Rattus norvegicus: one gene and its partner. The protein of the gene in region 1 interacts with the protein of each later gene in a pairwise test. Links are inferred from orthologs where the notes say so. Each region holds a gene or a part of one and is shown on either strand. Other genes may lie near its edges. The genes, in order: Aldh16a1 and Dera.

Region 1 (16,266 bases):
CCAAGCTCCTGTGTTCTCCTCCATCTCATCCCCGTCCTTGATTAAACACATAGGCAGAGGATTCATGATACCTTTTCCCAAACTGCACCCCTTGCAGCACCAGACTCACCCTGCTTTGTCCTTATCACCATTTAACACACACCATGGTTTCCTTATCTTCCCCATTGTCTTGGCTTCTTTTTTTTTTTTTTTTTTTTTTTTCGGAGCTGGGGACCGAACCAGGGCCTTGCGCTTCCTAGGCAAGCGCTCTACCACTGAGCTAAATCCCCAACCCTGTCTTGGCTTCTTTAGTGGCTGTTTCCACCCTGCAAAGTCCTTGCACCCAGAACTATGTCTTCCCTAAACAGCAGCTACCCCAGAGTCTATCTGATCAATGTACTGGCAGGTCCCGACCTCTTCCCAGCTCACCGCTGCTGTGTAGCACAGGATGTGTCTAGGTTTGGGTTTTGGTTTCTAGGAGATAAATCCTTGGGATTTTTCAAGTATGGGGAGCGCCATCGTTTATCAGGGCTGACACCTGAACTGCACCTGAGTTCACACAGAGGCAATTCAGAAAGGATCGAGAATGAATAACATGGTGCATTGGAAGCAGGTGGACCAGGAGTTCAAGGTTAGCCTTAGCTACAAAGAAGACCCTGTGTCATATAATAGGCAAGATGTGGTGGTGCTACTTTTAATTCCAACAGGAGAGGCAAAGGCAGACGAATCTTCTCTGTGAGTCGCGGGTTGCTTATTCTTGGATTTAGGGTCAGCTTAGATAATGTATGGAGATCTCATCTCAAGATCCTGGGGCTGCAGATACCATGGTGCTTGGCTAGCACGCACAAAGTCCTAGATTCCACCTCCAGCATGGCAGAAACAAGACTAGGCAGAGTACGCCAGTAATCCAGGCAAAATCATCCTTCGCTGTGAGATTGAAGCCAGCCTGGATCACACTAGACTTTGTCTTCCAAACAATCAACCCCCAGCTCTGACCTGCCATCTATGCTCCTCTGTGCTCTGCACCCCAGCTCTGTGCAGGCCACGGTGAGCCCACTGAGCTGCTTTTTATAGCACCTCAGGGAACCTGTCACATGCAGTCTACAGGTGTCACAGTGGTGCTGGCTTTGTCACTGTGAGAACCGGCCCTTTGTCCTCTGTAAGCTGAAGGTTTTCCTACCCTAAACTGGGAGTGAGTTAGTAAATGACACAAATACGAGGTGTCTTCTTTTTGTGCAGTTCTGGGGATTGAACCCAGCACTTCCCACATGATAGGCTGATAGCCGACTGTTGAGCAGACACTCTCAGTGGCGTTCGAGGCAGGGCTCTCCTGCCTGGGTAGTTCCGTCTAAGCCTCTCCTGCAGAAGCCCAGGTCTGCTCTGCAAACTCTGGTGTGCCTGTTTGGTTTGCTTTGGCCAGTCACTGGAGAGTGGAAAGTTTAGGTTACTGCTGGGTGAAGCCCAACAAGCTTAGGAGTGGGTGCGAGGGAAGTGGGGCTGTGCTGTGTTCACTGTGCCCTAACTTTTTCACATGTGGAAACTTAGTCCCCTGTGTTCGTTCACACTGCTGGCATCTCCAGGTGGAGCTTTAATGGAGTCCTACAACAGGCCTGGGATCTCAGCACTTGAAGGCTGGGGCAGGAAAATCACAGTAAGTTCTAGAACAGCTTGGGATGGTGAGTTTCAATTCAGCCAGGCTTAGTCAGACTACCTCTCTTTTTTGAGAGTCTTACGAAGTACACTATGTAGCCCTGGCCTGGAACAAGATATATGAACAAGGCTGCCCTCAAATTTAAGGAGGCTCACCTGCCCTGCCTCTGGGATTACCACACCCATCGAGCCTCTGTCTCAAAAACCAGAAGAAATGGGACTGGAGAGATGATTGAGATTAAAAGTCCGTACTAGGGCCTGGGGATTTAGCTCAGTGGTAGAGCATGGCAAGGCCCTGGGTTTGGGCCTCAGCTCCGGGGGGTGGGGGGTGGGGGGAGTCTGTATCATTGCATAGGACCTGATTCATTTCCCAGCACTCACAGTGGGTGCAGCTCCATGGAATTCAATACTCTCTTCTGACCTCACGTGTCCATACCCGTTGACACCATTAAAATAAAGTCATGGGGGCTGGAGAGACGGCTCAGTGGTTAAGAGCACTGATTGCCTGCTTTTCCAAAAGGCCCTGGCTCAATTCCCAGCACTCACAAGGCCGGTCACAACTGTCTGTAACTCCAGGGAACCTGACACCCTCATTCAAAAATAAAAGAAGATCACTAAAGGAAAAAAAAAAAGAAAGAAAGAAAAAGAAAAAAGATACGATGCTGCTTCCCCTCCAGTCCTACTCCCCTTCCTTGGGACAGGGCTTCTCTGTGTAATCCGGCTAAACTGTAACTTGACCTGTAGACCAGGCTGGCCTTAACTGAGAGATCCTGCCAAAACTGCCCTGTCTGTGCTGACTGGTTTTATGCCTATTTGACACAAGCTACAGTCACAAACTATAGGGAACCTCTATTGTCAAATGGCCTCCATAAGATGGGCTGTAGGCAAGCCTGTAAGGGCATTTTCTTTCTTTCTTTCTTTTTTTTTTTTTAAATAATCTCCTTTTTTTTTTTCTTTTTTTCGGAGCTGAGGACCGACGAACCCAGGGCCTTGCGCTTGCTAGGCAAGCGCTTTACCACTGAGCTAAATCCCCAACCCCGGGCATTTTCTTAATGACATAGGTTACATCCATGGGGAATGGTGCTACCCCTGGGCTGGTGGTCATGGGTGGTTTAAGAAAGCAGGCTGAGCAAGCCACAGGAAGCAAGCCAGTCAGCAGCACCTGTCCATGGCCCCTGCTTCCAGGTTCCTGCCAGGTTTGAGTTCCTACCTTGGATCTCCTCAGTGATTTGGAATGTGTAAGCTAAATAAACCCTCTCCTCCCAGAGTTGCTTCTTGTCACGGTGTGTCATCACAGCAGCAGCAGCGACACGCACACACTATATCATGTTATCAGGGTCCCTGGGACAGGCTTTGTTCTCTTAGAAGCTGTCATGCCATTAGCTTCACAAATGCCAACCAGATGGGGCTCCCAGCTTCACCAGCCATGTACTGTGACCTTTACTCTTGGCAAGTGACAGTCTGTGATAATCAGTTACAGCTCAGAAGATGGGCTCAGAGGAAGTTGAGCCTGATGGCTCAAGTCTGTCATCCCAATGGCAGGAGAATCAGGAATGCAAGGCCGTCTTTGGTGCCATAGCCATAGCCATAGAAGTTCTAGTCCACCAGGGACACACACACACACACACACACACACACACACACACACACACACACACACTGTGGTTCTCGAAACCAAACCAAACCAAACCAAACCAAATCAAACCAAACCAAACCAAGCAAACAAACCAAACTCCAACAAACAGAACACCATCACCAAACCGTAAGATACAAGAAAGGAAATGGACTAAGACAGCCTCCATCAGCCTAGGGAACTGGGCAACATTAGTGAGCAGAGTGGAATTGGGGGGGAGCGTTGACCATATGCAGTGAGTAAACCAGTTGGCCGTAGCCCACAGATCCAGGTGAGTGTGAAAGGCTAGGTAGGCCATGGTGGTGGCTCTTCTCCAACGTCTCTTGCCTGTGGCCTTCATGTTCAGCCTGAATGAACAGACACTCTGTCTTCTTTTGTGACCTCACATGGTAAAAAGGCAGAGAAGATTAAGGAACAACACAGGGTGGAGATAGATATATATAGGTGGATCACAAGAATTCCAGATCGGGGTGAGATGGCTCAGCTGATAAAATGATTATAAAAAGGTTATAACTACTGAGTATAAACACCTGAGTTGATCCCATGAACCAACATGGTGAAGGAGAGAACTGACCCTGTGTGTTGTTTTCTGACTTTTGTGCATGCCCACATACATGCATACTGAAAAAAACAAAACAAAACAAAATACAAAAACAAAACTCCCCTGAAACTTTAATTTTTTTTTCTTTTGAGACAGTGTACCTGGCTGTCCTAGAACTTGCTCTGTAGACCAGGCTGGCCTCAAACACAGAGATCTGCCTGCCTCTGCTTCCGGAGTGCTGGGATTAAAGGCGTGCACAGCCACCACTGTCTGGCTTAAAACAATTTTTTTGAAAGGTTTATTTATTTATTATATGTGAGCACATTGTAGCTGTCTTCAGACACACCAGAAGAGGGCATCAGATCCCATTACAGATGGTTGTGAGCCACCATGTGGTTACTGGGATTTGAACTCAGGACCTCTGGAAGAGCCGTCAGTGCTCTTAACCACTGAGCCATCTCTCCAGCCCTAAAACAATCTTTAAAAAAAAAAAAAGGAGAGAGAGAGAGAGAGTGTGTGTCTGTGTGTGTGTGTGTGTGTGTGTGTGTGTGTGTGTGTGTGTGTGTGTATGTTCCAGGTCCCACAGGACTACATAGTGAGATCCTGCTTAAAAAACAAAAACAAGGGCCTGGAGAGATGGCTCTTGCAGAGGTCCTGAGTTCAATTCCCATCAACCACATGATGACTCACAACCATCTGTAATGGGATCGAACACCATCTTCTGGTGCGTCTGAAGACAGCTACAGTGTACTCACATACATAAAATAAATAGATAAATCTAAAACCAACCAGGGCTGGAGAGATGGCTCAGTGGTTAAGAGCACCGACTGCTCTTCCCAAGGTCCTGAGTTCAAATCCCAGCAACCACATGATGGCTCACAACCATCTGAAATGAGTCTGATGCCCTCTTCTGGTGTGTCTGAAGATAGCGACAGTGTAATCATAATATATAATAAATAAATAAAATATTTAAAAAAAAAAATCTAAAACCAACCAAACAAACAAAAACCGCACCTTCTATCCCACAGGCAGACGTCGCGGGTTGGAAGCACCTGACGGTAAGCAGCATTCAGGTTGAGACACGAGGAACGGATGTGCAGATTAGCTGTTCCCTAAGGTGAAACAGACCAAAGAGGGGGAGAAAAAAGCAAAACCACAAACCTAAAACCCAAACTAAAGGCTAAATCCATGGAGATCTGCTGTGATGGCAAGACCTGATGAGTTTCGGCTCAAGGAAGCCAGGCCTTGCCTTGAAGCTGTGCCCTCAGAACCTGGCACAGCAGTGGTGGCCCCTGGCGTGGGCTGACATACTAGGGCTGTGCTAGGATATAGACCTAGTCAGAGAGGGGACTTACAGGAAGGGGTGGCCCTGTGGCCTACCCAATGCTGGAATCAAGTATAAAGGGGACAGACAGAGCCTTCCAGGGACTTCCCTCTACCTCCTCCTGACCCCAGAGTGCTGGACGGGGCTGAGTTCCCTTTATGCATTACATAAACAGTGCTCTCCCAGGGCTGCCTACCGGGCCACACAAGAAGCCACTGTTCCCACACCCTCAAATGTAGTCAAAGTCAATGTCACTCAGTTTATTTGAAGTCATGGGAAATCTGAGAGAAACGTTCCAAGCACTTGGTGTCCCTGGCATGAAAGATGGAGTGGGTGGCTTCGACCTCAGTCCCCCATTGGCAGCCACAGGGCCTTGGTTCGTGCTGCATGAAGACTCAGCTCCTGTTCTGACCCTTGGACTTCCACATCCCAGGCCCTTGGGAAGTCCCTGTTTACCCACACGGGCTTGAGGTTTCCTGCAGAGGCCCATTCCACAAACTGGGAGCCCTGGGATGGAGAGTACAAAATTAGTACTGCCAGTTGCCAAACAGCTGCTTCCTCAGCGACGAACACCTGTAAAAGAGCTAACAAGACCTGACAAGGCTGGGCATTTAGATCCTGGCCAACACTCCTTTTAGATGCAGAGGAAGTAGACCCAGTTCAAGGCTCTTGTCAATGGGGACTTCCCCTGCGCAACAATGGTTTAGGAGGGGAGAGCCTTGGAATGTTGCTAGGGTGCATACCTTAGCAATAGGTCTCCCAAAAACCACCCTGTCTTTGGGCAAGGGAGGCTTTAGGCACTTGAGCAGCAGTGATGCAGACCTTTAATCCCAGTACTTGGGAGGCAGAAGCAGGCAAATCTCTGTGAGTTCAAGACCAGCCTAGCTTACATAGTGAGTTCTAGAACAGGGGCTACACAGAGAAATCCTGTCTCGAAACACTGTGTCCCCCAAACCCCAATTGAAGACTCTTCCTTTGTCCTGAGCTTGTACAGGGTGGGTAGGGCCTCAACAGCTGTTGCTAAGGCATTCCTTCCTGTCAGGAACAGAGGTCTTTAGGGGATGAGGCCATGCTCCTAGCACAGAAGTCTGTTGGTGAAGGTTAAGTACCCTCAAGTACCTGGGCTGAACCAAAGTACCACATGGCCTGGACATCCTGATGTAAGGCCAGACAGCGGGTCAGATGGTCCCGATCTCCTGTCACTACGTTCACCAGGCCAGCAGGAAACAGAGCAGCTATATCCTAGGATGAGAGAGTGGGACACCCAGGGTTGAACATCAGTGGCCCTTGAAGAGTGGCCCTCGTGGGGCAGTAGCTGTAGGGGCTCATACAAGGAATAGGACTTAGATGGGATGCTGAAATTCAAGTTACCATGGTTACCCAGGAGGGAGGAGGCCAGCTGAGCTCTGGAAGACCCAGGAGCAGCAGGCAGGAGGGGAAGCAGGTGATTTTACCTGACAGGCTTCCAAGGCCAGCAGAGGACATGATCCACTAGGTACTAAGACCACAGCGTTGCCATGGGCCAGTGCAGGGGCTAGTAGTGACACAAAAGCCAGCATCGGCCACTCATCTGGGCACACCACAGCCAGCACTCCTAGTGGCTCTCGAAGCCGGAGCACAGGGCCTCTCAATCCTGTTACCTACAGGGACAGATGACAGACACATCAACAAGTTCCCAGAGGCCTCTCTATTGCCTGCCCCATTCTCCCACATCTGATATGTTTCTATTCCACAGTAGCTCCTATAAAGTGTGACCAGGGGATGCTCGTTCAGGGCCTAAAACTCTGGATTCCAATGCCCACTCATCAGCATGAGTTACTTAACCTCTCTGGGCCTCTGGGCCTTGAACCTGCCATTCTCCTGCCTCAGTCTTTGGAGTAGCTGAGATTTGGGCCTGTGCAATCAGTGTGTTTTGAGGTATTGCAGAGGGCTCCAACCATGCTAGGATGGGTAAGTGTTCTATCATTGAACCATATTCCAACACTTGCTTGTGTCTGGTTTGTTTTGAGACAGGGCTCCCTATGTAGCCCAGGCTGGCCTTGTACTCAGAGATCTGCTTGCCTCTGCCTCCTGAGTACAGGGATTAAACACAGGCGCCACCAAAACCCAGCTTGATTGATTGACTGATTGATCAATTGATTGAGTTTTGGATTTTCAACACTCTGGGCAGTCCTGGCTATCCCGGAAGTCACTTTGCAGACCAGGCTAGCATCAAATTCACATAGATCTACCTGCCTCTGCCTCTTGAGTACTGGGACTAAAGGCTTGATTTATTATTTAATTGTGTGTGTGTGTGTGTGTGTGTGTGTGTGTGTGTGTGTGGCACAGTTATGTGCACTTGTGAGTGTTAGAAGGAAGTGTGAGGTCTCTGGGAGCTAGAGTTACATGAGGTGGTAAGGCTTCTGGCCTGGGTGCTGAGGTCAAACCCATCCCCTGCAGGGCAGCTCCTTACTGCTGGGATGAAGGCCACCATGCTCAGCAATACCTTTGTTTTTTCAATGCAGGGTTTCACTGTGGTCAAGGCTGACCTTCGACTTGTGATTTTTCTGCCTCTGTTTTACAAATGTTGAGCCTGGGCTCTGGCTCTTGGCTGGGGACTGTCCTATCAGCTGCTTAGATCTGTCTCACCTGTAGTGTCTGGCCTTGGTCCTGAACCCGGGTGGCCCATGTCTGGAGTCGCCTCACACTCAGCTCCACTTCAGTCTCCGCAACCGTAGGCGCCGCTCCGTGCCTCTCTAGCTGTGCGGCCAGGACTTGCTTCCTCCGCTCCAGAGCAGCCGCCAGGGCCCACAGCAGGCTTGCTCGGGCCCTTGGAGACTGGGCTCCCCAGCTGTAGGCAAACAACGCAAGTTAGGGGTACAGCCTGACCTTAGCTATTCCCAGATGGCCACCTCTATCCACAGACTCAACCTAGGGCTCCAGTCCCAAGCTTACTCCCACCCTAGATACCCTTACCTCTGGGCTTCCATTTGACCCTCTTACCCAGGGGCAGCCTGATGAGCGGCCTCCACAGCACCTCGGATATCCTTGGCTCCACCCTCAGCTACATAGCTGGAGACTTTGCCCGAAGAATCTTTGATGGGCCTGGAGCTCTGGGTCCCAGGAGACTGGAAACGGCCCCTGACAAACAGCCCATAGGGAGGTGCTGGGCTGCAGAGTGGGGTAGGAGGAGGCTCTGAGTCCATGTAGGCCACTGGCAGGTCTACTACACTGGTTGGACCTCCCAGTTGCCAGGAACCTTCTGGACTCAAATTTCTATTCTCATGAGCGTCTAGGAGGATTCAAACACCTGCTGCCATGAGCCTCTGGAGGCTTCCGAATTTCTACCCCATGAGTTTCTGAGGTCATCTAAAACTCTTAACACTCTAAATTCCTATTTCTATGAGCATCTGGGTGCTCCCTGAATTCTTGCTTTGGGAAAAACTCAAGCCATTAAGTAGAACTGAGATTCTCTTTACACTTGGGGTTAGGATCCAGAAAGCTGCACTAAGAACCGAGACCCCGAGACTGGCTGTAACCTCCTCCTCCCTCGGCCCCTCCCTCTCACCCTTAGGCTGCCAGACCTCAACAGCTCACCTTGGCCCTGTTTCTGGCCCAGACGGCAGGCTGGAGGACACAGCAAGGCCAAATGTGTCATAGTTGAGACTCTCACAAAGGAAGGACTCCCGGTAAGGTGTTCCCAGGAGCTGTAGGTACTCATATAGGCCCTGTGAAAGGTGTGTGGTCACCAGGAGGCCAGGTAGTACTAGGTGAGGGGTACTAGGTGAGAGGTATTAGGTGAGGGTATGAGGTGTCAAGAGACAAAGAGGCGATGGGCACTCACATCTGGCCCTCCATGCCAGGAAGACCCACTCTCCTTGCAGCCACCTGTAGGCACCGCAGGGTCTCGGAGGCCATGAGCATTGATCCATACTGTGCCTACCTGGAGCCTAGGAGGCAGGAAAAGACACCAGGGGAGGGGATGGAAAGCTGGGTAAGGGGGAGGGAGACACCTGAGTGGGAGACAGGGCATAGGCAGGTGAGTAAGTACCAACTAACCCATAGCCCAGCTCCAGGGCCTGCCCTAGCCTCTCACTCCACACACTGGCGCTGCCTCCCCGGGGTGTTCCATTGGCCAGGGCCAGTGCCTCCTTGACTGTGCGGAAAGGTGAAGCCATAACCACAGGCCACGGCACCTAGGAAGGACAGGTGTTAGCTGGAGAGCAAGCCCTAGGGTCAATACTTTACTCATTTAGGAAGTCCTAGTATTTCCAGCCCCCGGTTGGTCACAGGGTCACTCAAACATTCTAAGGTATGGGGTGCTGCCCACAAGTTACTGAGGGTGGAAGGGTGGGGCAGGATGACTGTGGTCTCAGGGGCCTCACCTCAGCCTGGGCACATGGGGCTGCTGGAGGAAGACCAGAGACCAAGGTTGGAGAGAAGAAGGGGCTGTTGGAGGGCATATCACCAGCTTGGAATACCTGGGGAGGAGGGACATGGAGACAGATCAGATGCCTGTCTTCTCTAGACCCAGGGACACCACTCAGCCTCCTCCTGCAGGCTCAGGGGTCCAAGCCCCAGGCTCCCCCCTCAACCTGGACACGCAGAACCCTAGCCTCTTCCCTCAGACACTGAAGGCCAGACCCCAACTTTCTTCTGCAAACTGAGGAGGCAGGCTTTAGTCCTTCTCTCGGACCCAGGCATCTAGGGTCTGGGACCTTCTGACTCTGACATAGGAGCTAGCTAGTCAAAGTCTAAGACTCCATTGTGCAGTTGGGGCTCACCTGTCCACCCTGGCTTTGGGCCTCATCCACAAAGCTCTGGGCAAGGTCTCGGGCAGCAGCTCCTCGAGCCCCCATGTCCACAGCCCCATCCAGTCCTTTCCCGCTCCGTATCTGTGCCATCCTGGCCTGGAGTCGCTTCATAGCTTCATCCCATACAGATTCCTGGATGAGGAGCCTGAGTCCCCCCTGTTGGGAAAAGGCATCAAAAATGGTCAAAATCAGGGGCAATGAATATAAGAACAGGTTCCCACAGAGGCGTGGACCTCAGGGAGGAGGAGCAGCAGCAGGCAAGAGGTGCACTGCAGAAAATCCGTGACTTGCCCAGAATGGTGGCATATACCAAGAACCCCAGCAGGATTAGGAGTTCAAAGCTAGCCTGGGCTACATAGTGAGTTGGAAGCCAGCCTGGGCTATATAAGACCCTGTCCCAAATAATAAAAATGCCCAAAGACCAGAAAGTAAAAACAAGGTGGGAACAAACACCCATGTATTTGGAGAGATATGGTGGGCCCTGGACTTTGGGGACATGAGCATATAGATCTTACCAGGCTGCGGTCTGACCAGACAGCATCTACAACACCCTCCACAGCCGAGTCCACATCTGCTGAGTCTGTTAGCAGCAACAGGGACTCTGTGCCCAGGGCCAGGCCCAGTGTGGCTCCCCTGCCTGCTAGAGTCTGTCGTAGAGCACGTCCTTCCTGAGGGAACCCATGGGTTTCAGTTGTGACAGGAGCCTCTTGGCCCTTAGCTGTGCCCATCCCACTCCCATCCCCAAAGATACCTCCACAGCGCCACAGAAGGCCACCTTCTGCACTCCAGGTTGGGAGGCCAGGACAGGCCCCAGTGAGACAGGGCCACATACCACATTGAGGATCCCTGGGAAGGAGCCAAGCTCCCCTGCCAGCTGAGCCAGGAGGAGAGGTGTTGGGAAGGATGGGGGCACAAGGGCCACCACAGTGCAGCCTAGGGGAGGGGAACAACCAAGGAACCTTAAAGTCCAGCTCTCTTTCTTCAGATCTGAGTCCAGACCTCTACCCTCCTCCTCAGACCCCAACCATCCTCTGAGAAAAGACAGGGGGAGGCAACCACAGCCCTCACCTACCCATAGCCAAGGCAGGACAGACCCTCCACATCATGTCCAAGAATGAGAAAGAAGTCGGCAGGATGAGGCCAATGACTCCTACAAAGAATTCATAATGAGGGGAATGGACGGGTTGGTTTACTGGGTCAGGAGGGCTCTTTGAGGGCCTACAGGTTCTCACCCAAGGGCTCCCAGTCTGCCAGTGCGCTATCCTGCGCATGTGCCTGGAGGGCATGGTAGTGGAGCAGTTGCTGCGCCAGTGGTATATCCCCATCTCGAACTTCTCGAACAGCCCGCCCAGTGACCAGGGACTCCAGGGTCCACAGCAGGCGCTGGTGCTTCTGAATAACCTTGGCTAGCCTTTGGAGGATACAAGGAATTGGTCCATGCTCAGAGCAACCTGGACTATAATCCCCACAGACACTAGGGGCGGATCCATAATTTATCAGGGACAGCAGATACCAAAGCTGTATGGGAAATGTAGTTTAGGAGAGTGTCAAAACTCTGTGTGGATGCTGAGGAACGGTCCTGGTCACTAATTACCAGCCAGGACCAGAGGTAACTGGGGACTTGAATCTGAGTCTCTGATTCAATTGCATTGTGGGAAATGGGATCTTTATAGCTGACCCCATAGTCTGAGCAGGGAGCTCAGATTCTAATGAAGTGCTGAGAAACAGGGCTCTAAGATGTTCTGAAACCACCAGTCCCAGTGAACTGGGAGAAACAAGGGCTGTTCTGGCCACTGAAGCACCATATATATTCAGGTAACATGAACACTCAAAAGGCTCTTAGGAAGCGGAGTCACTGTTTCCAGTCTCCTGTGAATCCTGAGGGACAAGGCCCATCTCTTCCTCTGTGGACCTTGCCTGGGCTTCCTCACCGGGTTAGATGTTGGCCCCGAGCAGTTCCAGGGAGTTGGCTCCAGGTCTTGAATGTTATCCTTGCAGCCTCCACAGCTGCAGAGATGTCCTCGGCCTCTGCTTGCAGGCAGCTGGCCAGGTTTTCTCCTGCCAAGACAAGATGGGGGAAGTCTGTGTCAGAAGTTCCCTGTGCATCTCAGGCCTTCCTCTAGTCACTGGTCACTGCTCTGACCGAGCCCTGCAGACAGGAGTCAACTTTCTTTCCTTCTTTCTCTGATTTTTAAACCTTTTGTTTGTTTGTTTTGTTGATACAGGTTTTCTCTGTGTAGCCCTGGCTGTCCTGGAACTCTCCCTGTAGGCCAGGCTGGGCTCAAACTCAGGGATCTGTCTGTCTCTGCCTCCTGAACACATTAATGCTCAGCTATGGTTTGTTTTTTTTTTTTAATTTTTTTAAATTTTTTATTTATATGAGTATACTGTAACTGTTTTTAGACACCAGAAGAGGGCATCAGATCCCATTACAGATGGTTGTGAGCCACCATGTGGTTGCTGGGATTTGAACTCAGGACCTCTGGAAGAGCAGCCGGTGCTCTTAACCTCTGAGCCATCTCTCCAGCCCTCAGCTGTGTTTTTAAACTTTTATTTACTTAAAATTAGTTATGAGTGTTTTGCCTGTATGTATATATGCTTATATGGATGTATGCCTGTATGTGTGTGTGTGTATGTATTATGTATGTATGTATAGGAGTCAGAAGACATCAGATCATCTGGACCTGAAGTTACAGGTGGTTTTGAGCAGCCTGGTCCTGACATGGGTACTAGGTACTGAACAGTACTCACTTCTAACCACTGAGCTGTCTCTTCACCCCTTCCTCTCTTTTTAAAAGTGTCTCACTAGGGGTTGGGGATTTAGCTCAGTGGTAGAGCGCTTGCCTAGCAAGTGCAAGGCCCTGGGTTTGGTCCCCAGCTCCGAAAAAAAGAAAAAAGAAAAAAAAAAGTGTTTCACTATGAAGCCACGGCTGACCTGGAATTCACTCTTGTATTTCAGGCTGGCTTCAAACTCATGATCCTCCTGTTTCAGCCTCTGGATTGCTGGGATTAGAGGTCTGAGCCATTATACTAGACTTGAGGAAGGGAATTTAGTAAAGAGGGGCTTCAGAAGCCTTTTGGGGCACTAGGAACTATAATTACTGAGACAGTCATCAGGAGAAATGAGAACTCCCATCCCCACCACCATCAGTGGTTGTCCCTGCACTCAGGGGCTAGATATCAGGGATGGCATGGCTGACACCCTGAGAAAGGTCTTTGTTCCTCCTGAATGACTGGACTCTTTAAAAACCTGTGATGGGATCCTGGCAAGGCGCTGGATTCCTGTGTTCTGGCTTCAGCCACATCCCATTGACATAGTGGCCCAAGAGGCGATTGTGGGTGTCCAGCCAGGCCTGGAGGAAGAAAGAAGTTTGGAGAAGAGCAGATGAGGCAGCTGGGGCAGCTCAGCCCCTTGCTCTCCTTGAGGGGACGTTTGCACCCTTTGCCCTCAGCTCACTCTTCTCCTGGGTGCCTTTTGTTTTTGTTTTGGGCAGGGCCCTAAACTATCAAATTATACTTCCAGCCCACTTGTTTGTTTTACTGTGGTTAAAATGTTATCTGAAACTCATTACGTTAGTTGGACTGCTGCTACAGCCTATGCATGTATAGCCTGTTACAGGCCAGGACTCAGGACAGCATGGGCTACAATGGTAAGAACTTGGACTCTAATTTTTCTCTGTTTCTTTCTTTTTCAGACAGGATCAAATGTAATAATAGCCCAGGCTGGTTTAAACTCACTGTGGTGTCATGAATGAACTCCAGATCCTCCTGCATCCATCCACTGTGTGCACTGGTATGCCTGGCTTAAGTGTGAATATATATGTATATACACATATACACACCACACACACCTCACTTCCATCCTCACAGAAGTGACTTTGTCAGTTTTGTTTCTGTGGAAACATATTTGTCAGTGGTGTTTCTGTTTATTTTTTGGTGCTGGGGATGGAACCCAGGCCTTGAGCATGTTAGCCAAGAGCACCACTACTGCTTTGTTTATTATTAATAACACTAATATTATTATTATTTCCATTTTTCCATTTTTCCCTGTATCGCTGGCTGTTCTGGAACTAGCTCTTTAGACCTGGCTGGCCTCCTGCCTCTGCCTCCTGAGTGTGCGCCAACACTGCCAGGCTTAGCCAGGGGTTATAACTCTGCCTCTGGTAAACCACCCCCATGCCTGGGGAGAGGGAACAAATATGCATAAACAGACAGCATCGCCACTTTAGTTCCTCCTGTGACCTTGGCTTCAGCTTCCTCTCCAGGCACACATGCTGCTTTCTCTTCCTCCTTAGATTCCGCTGTTCTTAAATCCAACCTCTACTTTCCATTCTCAGATGCTTTCCCTTATCCTGACAACTGGCCTCTCATTCTTTGTTTACTTTTCTTCCTTAAAGCAAAATGGGCTCAGTGTGCACCACGTGCCTATAACTCCGACACTAGAGATGGAGAGGCAGGAGGATCACTACTGTAGCCAGTCTAGGCTACCTAGGGAGACTCCGTCTCAAAATAGTGCATGGTGGGGAAGTACGTCAGGCAGCAAAGCGATTTTTTTAAAATTTATTTTTCTATTTATATATAAGCACACTGTAGCTTCAGACACACCAGAAAGGGACATCAGATCTCATTACAGATGGTTGTGAGTCACCATGTGGTTGCTGGGATTTGAACTCAGGACCTCTGGAAGAGCAGTCAGTGCTCCTAACTGAGCCATCTCTCCAGGCCCAGCAAAGCAATTAATAAAAGAACCTGAGTTCAATCCCCAGGATCCAGGGGAGAAAAGTGGACCAAGGCACACGCATTTGTAATTTGTGTTAGGAAGGTAGAGGAGGAGGATCCTAGGAGTTCAAAGAACAGCCAGTTTGGCCTACATGAGGAATCCCAGCCCTTGAAAAGAAAGAAGGCTGGAGCAGAAGAGCGGCCTCGAAAGCTTCCCTGCGGACTCCTCACAGTTGATTTCTGACAGTTCGCAGCCACCTGCAACTCCAGCCCCGGGGATCTAACCCCTCTGCTGGCCTACCTGCTCACTCATAAGCATGCGCACATGCATACACACACATAATCATAAATAACAAAAAAGAAATCTTGGCTGGGGTGGGGCTGCACACCTTTCGTCTCAGCACTCGGGAGGCAGAGGCAAGAGAATTGCTTTTGAGTTCCAGTCAGACTATCTACACGGAGCATTCCAGGACAGCCAGGAAGGATTACATACAGAAACCCTGTCCCAAAGAGCAAAAGAAAAGGCAAGGGGCTTGAGAGATGGCTCAGTGGTTAAGAGCACTGACTGCTCTTCCAGAGGTCCTGAGTTCAAATCCAAGCAACCACATGGTGGCTTACAACCATCTATGAGATCTGATGCCACCTTCTGGTGTGTCTGAAGACAGCTACAACATACTCATCATATATATAAAATAAATATTTAAAATCTTAAAAAATAAAATAAAATCACTCAAAAAAAGAAAACCACATAAAAAAAGAAAAGAAAAACTGTCACTCAAATGTTCCAAACTGCAGCGTCCAAGAGGACAGAGCCAATTTTGGAAGTGGGGCCGTTGTGAACATGAGCTAGGAACTACACTCATGATTGACAGTTAATGCTAGGACAGTGTTAGTTATATAACGCAAACCTTATCTGTTAGAAATAAAGACGCAAACATTTATGGGAGCGTAGCACAACAGCTGGCATTTGTGTAAACTGCTCTTGAAGGGAAGAAGGAAGCGGCAGCAAACACTGGCCTGCATGTTAGTTGTCAGAGCTGAGTGATGGATGCATGGGAGTTCCTAACATCAGCTGCTGTGGAAAAGTTGGAAAACAAACTCCCACAAGAATGTCCACAGGGCCCTGGCAGCCACAGCAGCAGGAGTGGAGCGCCTATTGGACACCAAGAGCTTCAAATGTCCCCAAGTAGCCCAGACAATTGGTTCCAGATGAGTTTTGTCAGGCAACTGGAGCCAAAAGCTTGCCAAACTTTGGAATTTTATTTTCAAGAGAAATTAGTATCCAGGATGTTTAGATGGAATTAATTGTACAATAAATGACATTTCCAAAAACAAAGCCCACGCCAAAGAAAACATGTTTTCTGGTTGATGAGCTGCCCATAGATGATAAACCTGAGACCTTTGGAGGAGTAATGGGGGCAACTGATGGGGGCGCACAGAACCCAAGGCATGGTGACAGGCCTGGCTCCTTCTCTCATTTTTTGAGACTGCTTAGCTGATTTGGAACTCTAACTCTCTTGCTCTGGCCTTCCAAATGCTGGGATTACCAGTTTGTCCACCATATCTAAACTTCTTTAAGCTGTGTGTACTGTGAGCAAAATTATTCCCCTCATCAGCCTTGTGCTCT
Region 2 (16,751 bases), on another chromosome or scaffold:
AATAGCTAGTCAAGGAATAACTGCTGTCATATCAATTTCCAGCTTTAATCAATATATACTGAATATTAATAATTATTTTACACACACATCAGATATACATATATGTATTCACACTCATTGACAGACACACATACATGCATGCACATATACATATATGTCCACACACACATATAAGCATGCACACACATGCAAGCACACGTATATGTACAGAGACACATGCATAAGCATGCACACATATATGCACGCACACATGCATGCACACACATGTAAATATACATATATGTTCAGAGACACATGCACAAGCATACACATATATGCACACATACATGCATGCATATACACATATAAATACAGAGACACACATGCATGAACACATGCATATATATTCATGCCCACACATGTACACACACACATATATATACACACATATGCATGCACACACATGTAAATACACATTTATGTTCAGAGACACATGCACAAGCATACACATATATGCATACACACACATGCATGCACATACACATATATACACAGAGACACACATGCATGAACACATGCATACATATTCATGCCCACACATGTAGACACACACATATATATACACAGAGACACATATGCATGCACACGCACGTGCATGTACACACATGTACACACACACACACACACACACACACATCACTCATAGATAGAAGGAGCTAGGACTGTAGACATACCCCTCCAACAGCAGGCAGCCAACAAGCACTAACACCCAACTACAAGCAGACAGGATATTATTTCCCAAAACAAGCAAACCAGCCCCTGCAGCCTTACTGAGCAAGGGCAGTCCAGGCTGCCTGGGAGTGTGTGCTCCTGGACTGAATTAGACTGAAAATCACCACCTGCTGGGCCCTGATTCAAAATGCTGTTTCCCAAAGCACCTGCTCTCCCACCATCTCTCTTTAGGAGGAAGTTCTTTGTGGCAAGATGGGCCGGTTTCCCCAGCACTTTCAGACACTCCGGTGTCAATCGTCAAAAACCTCAAAGCACTGTGCCCTCCAAAAGGAAGCTGTGCCCACTAAGAGGTTTCCAGCTTTTTTGTGACTGTAACTGAAAGAACGCAGGCTCCCTGCTGCCAGCCCCACGGACCTGCTGACCCCTGAGGTGGGTGGAAGTCACATGACCAGCTGAGTTTTTTTCCATACTTAGAGGAACCTGCCCCAGGGGGCAGGGCAGGGTTTAGCAGCCAGAGAAACAGGAAGATAAGCAGGGGTGGGGGCAGCCCTTAATATTGGGGGTGCAGAGGAGAGGACAGAAGAACAAGAATGACAGATTCCACAGACAGCAGGCAGGGTCCCCTCAAGATGAATATATGAATCTGTACCACTGAAGTGCCATTTTGCCATCTTTTAAGGCTTCTTAAAGAAGTAGTGCTTTAGACTGTCCGTCTTTTGCACACTGATGAGAACTGAACATCCTACTTCCCTCCCACCCTGTTACCGAGGGGAAGAATCCCTGATAACAAGAGGCTGGCACAACCAGAAGTAAAAGTCCCCCATCCTCCTGAGAGCCATCCTTGACATCACCTGACATTCAAGCTCTTACTGGCTAGAGATTCAAGCAGGGCGACTCATTTGTGTGCCCATAGAATGCCACCTCACATCATCCAAGAGCTAAATACAAAAATGGTTGAATTTTACAGCAATTTGCTGTCTCCTGGCTTTGAATCTCTACAGGAGGGCTAAGGACAAAGTGAGATGGGTGTTTGCTTTGCATGCAAGATGTCCTGGGTTCCACCTCGGCATAAGAGAGAGGCAGGAGGAAAGGTCATCAGAGTGAGGGTTTTAAGTTTGACTTCCGAGACCAGTGACGATTCTAGTAGCAGAGTGGATGAGGTCTTAGGCGTTCCGAACTGTGACAGCATGTCCCAAAGTCAACCCAGAGACCAGGATTGCCTAGGTAGTACAGAACCCTTCCTTCTCCCTACCCCCACACCCTGTGATGCTGGAGAGGAGGTGGGAGAAGCTGGGGTGGGTCCCAATAACTCAGAAGAGGAAAGTCCAGGTATACTAGTCAGCCAGAGGGCCATGGAGGGATGGGTATCAGGGCTGTCTCTTAGCTGGTAAAGTGCTTCCCTAGCAAGCAAGAAGCACAGACTTGACATCAGCACCATATAAACCACATATGTGGTGCTACATACATAAATCCTAGCACTCAGGAGGGAAGGAGGATGATCTGAACTTCAAGGTCATTCGCAGCTACACACAGAGCTTAAGGTCCATCTGGGATACATGGAACCCTGGGCACACACAGAAAGCTGTGCCATGAACAACGCTATTGTTGTAATCGATATTAGAGATACAGAGACCTAGCAAAGAGAGCCCATCTCCAGAATGGTAAACTTCACTACCACACACACAACGTCAGCACCAGAGAGACAGAGTACTTCAGGAGACTGGAAGAGACCAAGGGTGCCTACAGGGAGGAATGGAGATCATGAGAGTTGATTACGTCAGAAGGAAATAGAAAAGCAGCCAGAATTTTTGACTGGTGGAGATCAATCAATTATCAAGTTGATGGTAACCAAAGTCAGTCTTCCATGGTGGGACTGACCTAAGTCACTCTTCCAGGGTAGAATTACAGATCGAGGACACTGAAGCCCAGACACTCAATTACTTGTTCAAGGTCACACAGTATCTGCCAGGCCTACAAGGGAAACTCAGGCCACTAGATTCTAAAGCCCAAGTTATATCCATAATCACTAGAGTGGGGCTGGAGACACATGTACCGCTGTTCTAGAGAACCAGAGCCTGATTTCCTGCACCCACGTCAGGAGACTCAGAATTGCCTCTAACCCCAGCTCCACTGGGATCCAATGGCTCTGGTCTCTTTGAGCACCAGGACTTGTGTGCACAAACAAGAACACTGAAAAAAAGTTCAAGGAAGATTATGTGTTACATGAAACGGAAGGAGATGATACCAAGTTTAAAAGACAAACAAATCCGAAAGGACAAATGCGATCAAGGAGTTCAAAGAAAGGAAGCTTTTCCTGGAGCGGATCAAAAGTCTTGGAGCCCTCACAGCGACGCCATGGACCACATGCCTGGGAAGAGCAGAAAGGGGGGAGCCCTCACCACATCTCTAATGGAAGCAAACATTAAGACTGTAACCAGTACCCCGTCAGGCAGAGGAGTGAATACACAATACAGGCCCGTGCTTGGGCGGCTCTGTTGATCAGCGAAGCGCTGGCTTGGCAAGCTCAAGGACCTGACTCCAGACTCAGCTTCCACCTAAATCACCAGAGTGCTGTGGTGTACACGTCATCCTGGCACTGAGGAACTCTAAGTGAGGCGAAGGCAGGAGGCTCCCGGGATCTCGCTGGCTGCTAGCCTAACTGGCATGGCGGGGAGAGAAAAACTAAGGGAGACACCCAACATTGAGATTTGAGACATATAGAGGGAAGGGCAGTGTGGTACAGCGTTTAGTCATGTTCAGTCAACTAGAGGGCAAAACGTGCAACCGACTGGTCTGGGAAGCCAGTGAGCCTTGCCACCAGCAAGACAAGGAAGGGGAAAGCCTAGAACACCAGCCCACACAGCTGCAGGAACGGCCACTGAAGGATCACGCAGCTCAAATACAGAGCCAGGACAGCCCTCGGAGTCTCAGAGATTGTACACCGGATTCTTCTGTTTCAAACATACTTTTTAGAGTAACTTTAGATTTTCAAAAACAGCAAGAGACACAAAGAGCCCCCCCCCCCAGGTCCACACAAGCATCACCTCCTGGTTATCATCATGTGCTTAAACAGCAACACACGTGAGACTCTTCTTACAGAATAAGAACGGTCAAGCCAGGGCACAGACGTCCCTGTCAAGATCAAAGTGGCCCTAGTGCACCTGGGAAAACCACACACAGCCAAGCAGAGAGTCTCCGATGACCACTCGCAGATGTCTGGTTTCAGCCTGGCTTGCGAAAGTTAAACTGTGGGAAGGGACCACTGCTAGATAAGGAAGAGGGACATAAGAAGGTCACACGGCAGAGACACAGGCATCCAACTTTTCTTTACATTAATTAAATTACTAACAGCAGAAAGATCCATTTTCCCCCGAGACAGGGTTTCTCTGTGTAGTCCTACCAAAAAGTTGTAACAAACTATAGAAAACCCTACTAAGCTGTAGACATTTTTACATTTTAAATGGCTTGTTTGTCTATTAAAGTGTGTACATTAGGCATGTGTGTGCCATGGTTCATATGTGGAGGGCAGTTGGTTCTCTCCTTTTCCCTCGGACAGGTCCTTATTTCTCCCCTGCTGAATGTTTAGGGACAGAGGGCACTAGAGTTTCTGTAGCTTCCCTGTCTCCACCTCCTACTGTAGGAGGCTGGGATTACAGATACGTGTCTGATATTTTTAATCTAGGTTCCTAGGACTGAAGTCAAGCTTTGAGGCGCGTGTGGCCAGTGCTGTTAGTCGCTGAGACACTTCTCTGTAGACACGCGAATGAACTGCACACTCACACACACAAACGCATCCCGTCCGAACGAAGAGGACAAAAGTATGTCCCTGAGGTGTTAACTGAAACGCTCATCAGAATCAGGCTTCTGATTGGATAATTTCAGTAGTCTCCCTTCCTTCACCGAGCGTAACTTGGCATCATTAGCGAGAGCCTAAGACAACCCTGGCACCAGCCACGAGGCGCCCTTTTGGAGAGCAATTACCAGCAGCGGCTCTCTGCCTGCCATGTCTTTGCAGGAGGAGAGCCCGAGTATACAAAGAGAGCAAGGAGTTGGGATGTAAGTGGCTCAGCATTTTAAAAAACTATGTAGGGTTGTTGGCGCAGAGATTAAACATTTATCCTCCTCTTGCGACCACTTTGGTTTCCAGGGAACCGACTGTTTTGGGGAGACAGCAGAGGAAGTACACCCCACAGACGCTCACAACACACACCAAAGTCGACTGAAAATTTTCAAAGTGCCTTTTCATGCCTTTAATTCAAAGATGAACACATTTCAAGGTGACCCAATCCTCAAGTGACAGGCAGTGTTTTGAAAGGGCCAGAACTCTCCACTTAAACCATTTCTAGTGACATGTTTCAATCGCGTCCTCCAGGGCTCTGTCTGCTGTCTCATTTAGTAGTCTTTCTTTCCAGGCGGAGGCTTGAAGTTTGCCTTCCCTCCCAATAATTAAAATCCACAGGGCTTAGATACTTCTATTTAAAAAAAAAAAAAAGTGTTTCAGTGCAGCAGGTACCACAGAGGACCTTTAGTTATTTAATTACACAACAACCTCTGATTATTACTTTATAGCTTTCTGTTTATCAAAACGGCATCAGAGTGATAAAAGATAGCCTCATGTACATGCTTATAAACAAAAGATAGCAGACTTCAAAAGCAGAATAAAAGTGTTCATAAAAAGGACACCCAACTTAAAATACAGAAATGAGCAATCACCGTACTTGTGTGACCCACATGCAGAATCGCTCAATGTATTAGTCACAGCCACTACAGCAGAACAGGGTGGACACGAGAATCTGAGCACTGGGTTCCTGTGTTTAAAGGACCCTTCTAGGCTGCTTTCCCTCAATCCCTGTGTACAAAGGATCCGCTGAGGAACAGCATTAGGAAAGAAAGCCTCCCCTGGACTCACCGGTGTGACCCCATCTCTTCCTGTCCTTTTGTGTTTCTGAGGTCATTTGTGTTAGATGTCCAGCTGGTCAATAGCAGGATTTTTGACTGGTAGAAGCCAGTGTTCCTCAGGAACCTGTGAAACAGGTTTTCTGTCCCCCCCAAGGAGTCATTTCCCTGACCTCTGGTGGAAGGGACATATGGCTCGAAGCATCTCGAAGCCCATGCTGGCCTCCAGGCTCCCCCGGTATCACAAGTTTCTCTTATACATTACAAATTCCACACTAGCACCCCAGTCTGCCTTACCCCCTCTACTCTAGACTCTCTAGCTCACAGGTTTGGTACCCACAGTTACTCATCCTCCTTACAATCCAGCGAGTCCCTCTCTCACTACAGGTGAACAGGGAGGCTCTCCCTGTATGCGGTCTTGCTCTCTCCTGCTTCCCCAGCTCTGGCCATGTCCAGTCTGCTTTCTCTTCTCTCTGCTCTAGACTCTTCCAGTGGCCTCTGGATATCATCTCTCACTCATCCCCAATAAGAACCTTCCCTTTAATAATGGAGCAGTCAGGTTAGGGGTTTCCTTACTCTACCTGCTCAAATACAATTTCCTCCCTTCATTCGTGGTGATTTTTGCTTAGTTTAGCTTGTCTCAAAACTACCCCAGGCTGGCCTCAAAACTGTTAACCCTCTTGTCTCCACCCCCTAGTACTGGTATCAAATCACAGCACTGGAGCAGCACGCTCAGCCAACACCTGAGTGACTTTCACTGTCCTACATATACACGCTGGCTGAGACGCCTGTGCTCTTAGAGATCCGAACAGGTCAGCTACCTGTGGGATCCATACCCTGGGGCCATAAAACAAGAGGCACTCCACACAGGACTCTCCAAATCTCTGTGCACATAAAATACTGCTTTATAAAATGCACATTGGCTCCTTTCCCCTGTCTTCCTTAGAGGGCAGACCTGAACCACCAGGGCAAAGGTAAGAAAGGAGGTGAACAAGGTACCCTCAAGGTACCTGGGCAGGACACCCTCAAGTCCACAGTGGGGCATGGAAGCCCAAACAGGTAAGGAGGGTAGCCATGCATACAGCAGCCCAGAGTCCAGACAGAGGAAGGAAGAAACGAGCTTCCTATGTTGCTAATCGTACACAAGCTCCTATAAACACAAAAATAAACGACAATGACACAGGGGAGCGAGAACATCTTGTTATCACAACTCATTTAACGAAGTCTAAGTCAGGCTTCTTATAATCCTGGCACTTGAGAGGTGGAGGCAGGAGGATCATGGTTCAAGGTCACACTCAACTAAAAGAGTTCAGGCTCCTCCAGAGGTCCTGAGTATGAGTCCCAATACCCAGAATCTGTATCACCAGTCCCAGGGGACTCAAGGCCAGGCACCCATATGATACATAAATGCACATGCAGGCAAAGCACCCATACGCATAAAATAAATAAAATTAAAATTAGACCCAATAAATATTAACAATTTTTAAAACGCTACCTCAGAAACACTGAAAAAAAATCTAGACATATCTAACTTCATAAACGCACAGAGGTAAAAGATGAACGGATATCACATTTACAGTCTTTTTAAAAAGGACTTTGAATTGGGCTGGTTGAAGTGGTTCAGTCGTTAAGAGCACTGCCTGCACTTGCAGAGGACCCAAGTCCTGTTCCCAGCTCCCAGAGTGCACAAAGCTCCAGTTCCAGGAGATGGGATGACCTCTTTCAGCTTCCAAGGGTACCAGGAATGTACATGGTACACAGACACAGACGCAGGCAAAGCACACATATGCATAAAAACAAAAACCAGCCAACCTCAGAAGACTATGAAGTTGGATCACAGCAAATGGGGAAAGACACACTCACCACCTTTGTAGAATAAAAGCCGAGCGGACTTTCTGCCCAAGTGCTTGCTAGCAGGGTTTGGCTTCTAGAACAACTTTCTGGCAGAAAGAGTGGATTTTGAGCAGCTCTGACTTAGTCCTTCTGTTCCTTTAGGCTACACCAAGACTACCTTCTGTTTTGAACACCCTACACCATAATTGTATCCACCTACTAATAACAGTGTCCGGTGAACTGTTTCTTCACAGTTGAGATCTGCTTGAAGCTTTCCCCTAACAGAAACGACCAACATAAAGTAAGACATTGCTAAAATGTTCCCTAGTACAAAATCCCCGTTTCCAGGTACCTCTAAGCATGCACTAATTTGAAATGAAATTGTGCTGGCAGGCTTTATGCCAACTTGACATTAGCTAGAGTCATCTGAGAAGAAGGAATGGCAACTGGGAAAACAAGCCTGCACAAGATCAGGACATGGTAGACAGAACCGCAGGGCATTTTCTTAATCAGTCATTGATGAGGGGGAGCCCAGCCCACTGTGGGTGGTTCCATCCCTTGGCTGATGGTCCTGGGTCCTATAAGAAAGCAGGCTGAGCAAGCCATGAGGAACAACCAGGAAGCAGCACTCCTCCATGACTCCTACCCCCTGTCCTAGTTGAGTTCCTGCCCTGAATTCCTGAAGGGAAATAGGACCTTTCCTCCCTAACTTGCTTTTGCTCACGGTGTTTCATCGGTTATAGAAACCCCAAGACAAAACCACTGTCCACCACCGAAAACAGAAGTTATCAAACGGCCTCTGACTGGCACTGGAACCTAGGAAGGCATGGCCCTCACAGCTCCTGTCCACACACAGGTCCCAGCTGCACAGACAGGTTCCCCCAAACGGTAAATAGTTCAAGATGTGTTCCTCTGTTCCTCCTGTGAGGGCCTTCGTCCATATAGGTTACATGGGGAACTAAGGGAAAAACATGTTCACAGGCACCTACGTTGTAAGGAAAAGTCAGAAAAGTCTAGAACATGTTGACACAGCCTGGAAGGATTAATCAGCATGGCAGTTCCCTGAGTGTGCCCCAGAACCACCCAGACCCAGACGGCTGGACCTCCATTTACAACCAGAGCATCCCTATCTGGAAACCTCTTTTACACATGCCCTGCTGGGAAGAAACTTTCCTTGCAGTGTTCTCGCCCTGAAAGGCAAGTTCAGGACCAGCCAGATGGCTCAGTGGGCAGACACTTACTGCTGCACTGGACATCCTGAATTTCAATCCTGGATGGCAAAAGTGGAAGGTGAGGCAACTGTGAAAGCTGCCCTCTGATCTCTCTGCGCACGCACACACACACACACACACACACACACACACACACATACACACACACACACACATACATACACACACATACACACACATACATACACACACATACACACACACATACATACACACACATACATACACACACACACACACACACACAAAGTAGACAAGTAAATTCGATTTTTAAAATCTGGATTAAAGGCTGAAGAGATATGTCTCAGCAGTCAAGAGCTCTGAGAGGACCTGAGTTCAACTCTCACCGGGCAGCCATACACCATCAGAAACTCCAATCCCAGGGGATTGGATGCCCTCTTCTGGCCTCAACAGGCATTGCATGTACATGGTAAAGAGACATGTATAGACAAAACTCACACTTAAAAGTAAAATAGAAAAAATTATAAATGACAATGACTAATGAAGTCTACAATCCACCTGGTGATAACTGCATTTTGCTAAAAAAATTTAATATGAATGTGTTTAAATAAAACTAATTTCTTTTTAAAAGGTAGCGTTCATAAAAAACATTAAGATGTTTTTAATCAACAAAAAAACTCAAAAACCATCAATTGAGGCCGTGTTGAAATTAAGACAGAAGAGTTTTTTTCATAGTACATATATAATTCACGTGATTTACTTTAGCAGTTTAGATTCGAGCCGTTCCCAGCTGATAAGGACTCTTGCGCTCCACCTGATTTTAACAAGAATGGTAAAAAGTATCCGCTTTTGTTGGAGGCGTGAGCACACATTTACTACTATTCTAAATAGCAACTCTTAATTTCTACACTGTTATTTTGAGACACACGAAAGGTGGGGTTTTGGTAGTTTTTTGGGTTTTTTTTTTGTTTTTTGTTTTTTGGGTTTTTTTTGAGAGAAGTTCTTCCGATGTAGTCCAGGCCGGCCTGCTCACGCCGGATGCTGGAGTTACAGGTATGTGCAACAGCAAAGTAAAAACGCTTTAATTGCATCACCCGAAAGGCAACTGTGAAACTTTTAAAAGAGAGACATTGTACAAAGATGCAGACACACCTCAGCCTCAACCTTTAGCCCCCATCTTCACTCTTCCAATCCAGGGTACGCTGGATCGCAGCTAACGTTTAAGGGATAAAGTGTAAGCCACCGTCTGTTGGAAGGAGTTCATTGAGGTGAACCTGGTACAGAAGCTACCTGTCGAGCATGCAATTCTAAACGTCTTTAAAGTCTAGACTGATTATTCGTGGAGCAAGTCCCTTTTGAAGAGAAAAGAGTAACCATGTGTTATAACTACGCAAAATCAGCCCCTAAGAAGAGAACTTTACCCAATTTTTATCGTTGCTTATCAGCAGTAAATGCAGAGAAATCCACTGGAAGCTCTGAGTATCCTGTCCTCACACTATCCAAACCACCTTCAGACAGAAGTAGCTTCCTAATAACTACTTTACAGATGCCGGCACGTAAGCACAAAGTGAGTAATTTACCCCAAATCGCACGACTAAGAGGGTCCAGGATATGAAGCAAACTATCATACAAAGTTAAATCGTTGACATTTGGCTCAGTCACGTTTTTTGCCACGTTTGAATTACAGACTTTTTTCCCCCAGAAATATCTGAACTAGCATCAATAAGATGAAAAATAGTTTTAAAAAGGACATTTTGTGTAAGGGTCTAAAATCACTTTTAGCGGAAGGCCATGACCACTCTTCCACCAGCGCAGTCAATTTTGGGAATGGCTACGTGAATCCGGCTGTAAATGGCACAAATACTCCCTCAGGTTTTTCGCAGGGGTTTGTTTTCTGCGACCACAGAGCTTAAAGTGGAAAGATCTAATGAATCCTTCCTTGCTTCCGCTTAAAGGGAAAAACTGCAAAGACAGCAAGGCAGGGCTGTCCCGGGGTTCTGCCTCAGTTCACGACTCCGCTCTCCGGGGACCGCCCTGGGCACCCACACCCCCAACCTGGCGAAGAGGAGCGTAACCCGCCGGCCCTTACCGAGCTCTGTGCCCCGGCAGTGAGCAGCCATTGCGGCCACAGCTGAAAGGTAACTCTTGCACCAGGGTAGGGCGCCACACAGGCCTGGTCTTCCTCCTTCCTGCCAAATGCCCGCCCTGAGCCACGCCCCTTCTGCCCCTCACAAGCCACGCCCTCTAGAACCACGCCCCTTTAGTCCTGTCTCTGAGCTAGCTCTTGGCCTTGGCTCCCAACCCGGACATTACCTGTTCCCTGTCCTTCCGGATCAGGCACATGACTTGAGCACGCCCCAGCTCCATTATGCTTACATTGCCAATTGAGCTAGACAGAGTGAGTCTTAGGAACTTTAGCTGTAGGATCATGTGAGTGGCAGGACTGGATTCCTTCTTGCATGGGCAGAGCACTGCAGCCTTGGACCCGAATGGTGGGCAGTGTTCCGGAGCCCTCAGGTGACAGCCAAGGTACTCTAGGACCTAGAACACGCTGTGATTTCTAGTCTGGGCTCGATGAAAGAGCAGCTAGAACATAAGCTTGGAAGACCTGGTTTCTCGTTTTTGGTTTGTTTTTTTTTTTAAGATTTAATTTATGCATGTGAATACACTGTTGCTGTCCTCCGACACACCAGAAGGCGGCATCGGATCCCATTACAGATGGTTGTTGAGCCACCATGTGTTTGCTGGGAGTTGAACTCAGGATCTCTGGAAGAACAATCAGTGCTCTCATCAGCTGAGCCATCTCTCCAGCCCTTTCGTTTTGTTTTTAGACAGAAATTTCGCTCTGTAAATACGACTGGCCCAGAGACTGCTTTGTTAAATCTCCTGCCCAGATTCCCCACTGCTGGGATTACAGGCGGATGCCACATGCAGTAGAAGGCTTGGTTTCTTCCATTTAAAAAACATGTTATTTTCATCTTTGTGTATACACACGTATGTATGTATGGACAGCACATGTGTACAGGTACCTGCAGAGGCCAGAACAGGACCCTCTGGACCACGTTTAGTTATAAGCTGGGAACCATACTGAAGTCTTAAGGAGTACAAGCACTCTCAACTTCTGAAAAGATGTTTTTAACTTAGTTCTATGAATAATTGAATATGTAACCTAGGACACATCACTGGCCTTTGTGAACTTCATTTTCCTTATCTGAAGAGAGGATCCAGCCAATTTCTTGGCTTTCTAAAGTTGAGATTCTGTGATTCTGATTTTTTTTTCAGCCTGGTTTCTCTGAATTACTCTAGGTTCACAGCACAGGGCACTAGCCATTGTATCTATATGCACATGGAACTTTGCTGAGCTCAAAGTCTGAGCTACCAGCTTGTCTAATGAATCAATTGCTCTAGTGTTTTCAGATGTATGAAAGCATTTTCATCCCAGAAAGTCCTGCCAGAGATGTACATATACCCAGAGACCCAAACTTTGAGAATTGAGCAGCAATCTGGTAGAGAGGGCTCTAATGAACTCGAACCATTCATATTTCAATTCTACACAATGACTAGAAGGTTCTAGGACATTATAGTCTACTTACTGCAAAACTAGGTGATCAAAATAGGTTTGCATGCAAAGTTGCATGGTTCATAAATATGTGAGGACATGATAAATGGAAGCTATTAAAGGTAGTGTCAGATACACAATTACTTATCTAGATAGAAGCCAGTTTATTTCCCCCACAGAGCTACCATGTAGTCTAGCCCATACGCAACTACTTCTAAGTATTCTGGATGTGTCTAGATCATTTTCACAATACCATTGTTATTTTCACTTACCCTGCAAAACTTAAGAGCAGGCACTACAAGCCTGGAGTTTATCTGAAACCCACTAGACCACCAAGAACACCAACATCATGCATAGCCAAAATATTCACATCTCAACACAAAAACCTACAGATTTGCCCTGGCCACGATGACCAAGCAATCTTGTAATATGTAGCTATCACCTATGGCCCGGGGATTTCAGAAGTGTACATGTATGTAGTAGCATGTCCAACTTTGTACGTGGCTGCTGGGGAAGCAAACTCAGATGTTCACACCCGCACAGCACACCCTTTACTGACTAGGCTGAGTCTCCAGTCCGCGCTTTTTTACTTGGAAGCTTCAGCCCCAATGAAAGTTTCAACAGGCTATGAGAAAACTGGCACACTATCAAGGGATTAAATACCAGCACCCAAACCAAGTGACCCAACCTCCTTAAGATTCAAATTCTAAAGCCTTTCCTACAATGCAGACTGCAAGGCTGAGAACCAGGCAAAGGCAGGGTGTAGTAGACTGCAACATCCAAGAACCGTGGGCAGCCTGAGGAGGAAGTAACAGAAGAGAAGCCCTGAACAGATCTAGGAGAGCTCCCAGGATAAGCACAGCCAGATGTAGGACTCGAACAGGCATGTAGGGTCATCCAGGCCTTTTCATTTGAGCACCTGGATTTAAGGTAGCGACAGTCACTAAAGAAGCTTGAGAAGCAGGTTTAGCTGAGGGAAGGCGAGTGCCACGATGACTTCTAGCAGCTGAGGGCAAAGCTTTTCCTGGTGACTCCAGACAGAATGCAGCTTTGCCAGCACCTGGACCTTATTCAAGTGAGACTTGTTTCAGCCTCGGGACATTGCAGTCCCTTAGTAAGCATGCTGGCTCGGGCTACGAACTTGCTGCAGCAACAGGAAACCAATGGCACAAAAAGAAATGCCCTTATTTTATTAATTTCATGAACTCAAGCAACTTCCATTATAAAAGATGCATTCAACTTTATTTAGGGTCAGACTCTCAGTCTAATCTTGATACATTAACAGTACTGCTACAGAGCAGAGAACCAAGCATGTTAAACATGGACACAGGAACACCACTGCCTGAGGCTCATCAGCGTCTGTGACAGGCGTCCCCCTGGCTCCCCAGCCGCTGCTTGTAGTGCCGCCTTCTGGTTGTCACAAACCAGCCAAAGCTTTTTTCTAATCAAAGTATTAAAGGTCACTCAAAAGACAAATTAGAAGAAAGCAAATTAATGCAAGCTGTTCATCTTTATTTCCAAATTACTAATTTAATCTCTTCATATTATAAAATAATAAACTACAAATTTATTCAACTGATCCAATGTATTAAAGGTTGACTTTTTGAATGACCCAAATTTCAATGTGATAAAGTCTGATACATCATAAACTACTTCAAATTAATGATTAACCCAGTTTCACAGTCATGTGGGTATTTGTACAACCAAGCAGATGTCTGACTGCGGACAGCGGTTTTCAGAACAACTGGGACTTCCGCTTATTTACCTGTCTTCCTAATTGCTTTTCTTTTTAGTAACTAACATGCATGTTTAAACAAGAAAAGCAATTCTACCCTTCCGGAAGATAAATGAACACCTAGCAAAAGATAGGAAAGTTTCAAGTTTAAATAATTGAATTTCAAAATTAGGAAATGTTTAGTTCAGGCTCTAACTAAACTGTCTTTTGCCACTGCTGGCTGTGGATGATACAGAAAACTCTGAATATTTAGTTTTAATATTCAAGCATGTCAGAATTTCCCAAAGAAACAGAAAATTATTGTTTTAGAGGCATTTTATTTAGATAACTAAAAAATTAGATGTCCAGAAGCCGTCAGTGTACAATGAAAGAGATCAAACCAGTTACTTTATCATGTATTTCCTCTTCTTCACAACTAAGCAGAGAAAAAAAGGCATTCTTCAAGGGAAATGTCAGAAAAATAGGCCAATATATTTTTCTTCTCCATGACAGAAACAGCTACAGGAGATCTGGGGTAAAGTGGACACTAAGTTGGCTTTTCATCACGGCAGCAGGCTTTGGCAGGCACTAGGTGAACAGACTCCTCCTGCCTGCACCGCACGCTCAGCCAGTTCCCTCACAGGCAACACTGTAGTGGTTCGTGCACTGGAGCAATCCATGCCCCAACAGTCTGTCCCCTTTGCCACAGGCAGAGTAACTGAAGGCCGATGCCGGTCTCTGCTTGTTCAGTCCATCAACTGCATGGCATCTGCGGCACACGTCTGACGCTGCTCAGGCCTTCACTTCAGGAGTTGACGAATAGATGGAATCTGAATTCTCTGAAGCAATCTCTTCTGCATTTAAAAGACAAAGCCATAGCAGATTTAATAAAGGAAGAAGGAAATCTACACTTCTGTACAAGGAGGGATAAATAGAAGGGTCTTTTCAAGCATGCTGTGGCGAGAATGAGAAAATAGAAATGCTACTGAACATCACACTACCCCAGGACTCCGGCCACCAAACCCCTGGGCAGAGCTTAGACACAGTCACCCGTTCTTGGTCTTCACATCCTTGTCCAACCCCAATCCCTGTCCTTTCGGGATAAACTTCGGCTGACTCCAACTATCCAGTCAGCATCTAATTAAAAGCATGCCTTTGTGGGTCCTGTCCTTTCCTTTAGTAATCAATTCCTAGTATCAAGGGCATGTAATTAAAATCATAACCATTAAGCACTGCTTCTGGGGGCAGGCTCTAATAGCATCCAAAGCGGGGGTTAGCCTCAGAATCTGCGGTCAACTCTTCTTACCGCCCCAAGTTACAAGACAAGTAATGACCAATCTTCCAATCTAGCCATTATGCATCTAAGACAAGCCCACCTTCCTTCTGTTCTTGGTGTCTGTCCTGTGGCTACTAACCTTGAATCTATTGTCCCTAGTCTAACTCTTTCTCCACACTATACATCAAGACAATTTCCTAATTTTACATCTAGACCTTCATTCAGATCAAAGGTTTTTCACTCTCCTAGTTTATAAAACGATCAAGGTTGTAACAGAGCAAACCAGGAGCCGGCTGGCCTAGCCTCTCACCTCATCTCACCCTGACTCTTCAGACTGGACAGAGACATCCTTCACGCTGCTTCCCTTGCCTTTCTTCTGTTTTCTGCTGAGCCCTCCTGTCCATCCTCACCAGCCACCTTGTCCGTCCTGCGGTCTCCTCGCATGTAAGTGTCCCTTATGCAGGAAGCCCTCTCTGCCTCCCTTCATGGCTATAAACTGTCTCGGGAACCTTTAAGTACCTGTTCCTGAGCGTATGAGGGAGCCCATCAGTCCTGTCCACGTGCACGAGCCTGGAACTCGGGAGCGAATGCTTACACACTCACACTTAAGCTTCCTATAATGTACTTCACTTATTAAGTCTCTTTTGCCATGGACCAAAAATGCTCATACACTGAATTTTTACATACCCAGGACCCTTAGAAAAGTTCATTAATTTGTATTTACCCAGCTCTTCTTCTGCTGTTTCTGGAAATCCGATCTTTGGCTTTGCCAGTTCCCCGCTATCTTCCTCTGTGAAGAGAAAAGCGGGGTGACTGACTATGAAGCAGGGCAGGTGTTCACCAACTCACACAGCACACTTCCTCTTAACAGTCACTGTGAGTCTAAAAGAGACATCTAAAGCCACCTTTAGTACAACAGTCACTCTGGGATTAGTAATAAGTATTTGGAGTTTTTGTTTGTTTGTTTGTTTGTTATTTAAACTTAAAAACATGTTTTCAGTGGTAAGGATCAAGTAATACTATAAAAAATTGAATAGATACTTGTAAATTCTTCATACTGCCTTCTAACAAGCTTTATTTTTATTTTATTTTATTTTTTTATGTATGCTTTTGAACCCCTGGGCCATCTCCCGAGCTCCTTTGTAATAAATTTTGCAATCAGTTCATTCAATTCATCACATAAAGGTCATTGCTCAGTTAGCAGCATGATTTCACTTGCTTATGCCATATGCAGAACTCAAAGTCTAAAGGCAACTGACACAGTGCAACAGAACTAGTGAAGGACACACAGTCTCCGCAGCATAATTTGGTAACGTTGAAGAGACGTCCTCACCAGGAAGCACGCATTTCCACAGGCCGTAGGTCTTTCCAACCACAGTTTGCCACAATCTCAGTGTCCCATCTTCAGAACCACTGGCATAGAGTTCACCATCGGGACTGAATCTCACACAGTGAATGGGGCCAAAGTGACCTTTGTAGGATTCTGAAAACAGTGAAGAGTGGGGTTATCAGATTTAAATACATGCAAAGCTAATTATTAGGGTAAATAGCACTGTACTAGAAGAGATA

What was found.
Region 2: the proteins of Aldh16a1 (region 1) and Dera interact in binary tests that used the Homo sapiens proteins (3 or more experiments, as listed by UniProt). The link is inferred for Rattus norvegicus from reciprocal best matches to the Homo sapiens genes ALDH16A1 and DERA.

Annotation. Positions count from the first base shown.
Region 1 is NC_086019.1:104,757,828-104,774,093, forward strand, and holds the end of Aldh16a1 (aldehyde dehydrogenase family 16 member A1), read right to left. Parts: intron 13,274-16,266; coding exon 13,171-13,273; intron 13,146-13,170; exon of another isoform or gene 12,856-13,145; intron 11,979-12,855; coding exon 11,852-11,978; intron 11,332-11,851; coding exon 11,153-11,331; intron 11,071-11,152; coding exon 10,993-11,070; intron 10,854-10,992; coding exon 10,672-10,853; intron 10,589-10,671; coding exon 10,436-10,588; intron 10,077-10,435; coding exon 9,891-10,076; intron 9,588-9,890; coding exon 9,492-9,587; intron 9,303-9,491; coding exon 9,166-9,302; intron 9,057-9,165; coding exon 8,951-9,056; intron 8,835-8,950; coding exon 8,704-8,834; intron 8,278-8,703; coding exon 8,110-8,277; intron 7,958-8,109; coding exon 7,756-7,957; intron 6,768-7,755; coding exon 6,582-6,767; intron 6,370-6,581; coding exon 6,247-6,369; intron 5,635-6,246; coding exon 5,473-5,634; 3' UTR 5,373-5,472; downstream 1-5,372.
Region 2 is NC_086022.1:172,389,047-172,405,797, reverse strand, and holds the start of Dera (deoxyribose-phosphate aldolase), read right to left. Parts: upstream 10,828-16,751; 5' UTR 10,754-10,827; coding exon 10,723-10,753; intron 9,761-10,722; exon of another isoform or gene 1-9,760. Other genes in the region: Strap (serine-threonine kinase receptor-associated protein), read right to left, coding at 14,699-14,760, 15,907-15,972, 16,516-16,665. UniProt on the Homo sapiens protein: Catalyzes a reversible aldol reaction between acetaldehyde and D-glyceraldehyde 3-phosphate to generate 2-deoxy-D-ribose 5-phosphate. Participates in stress granule (SG) assembly.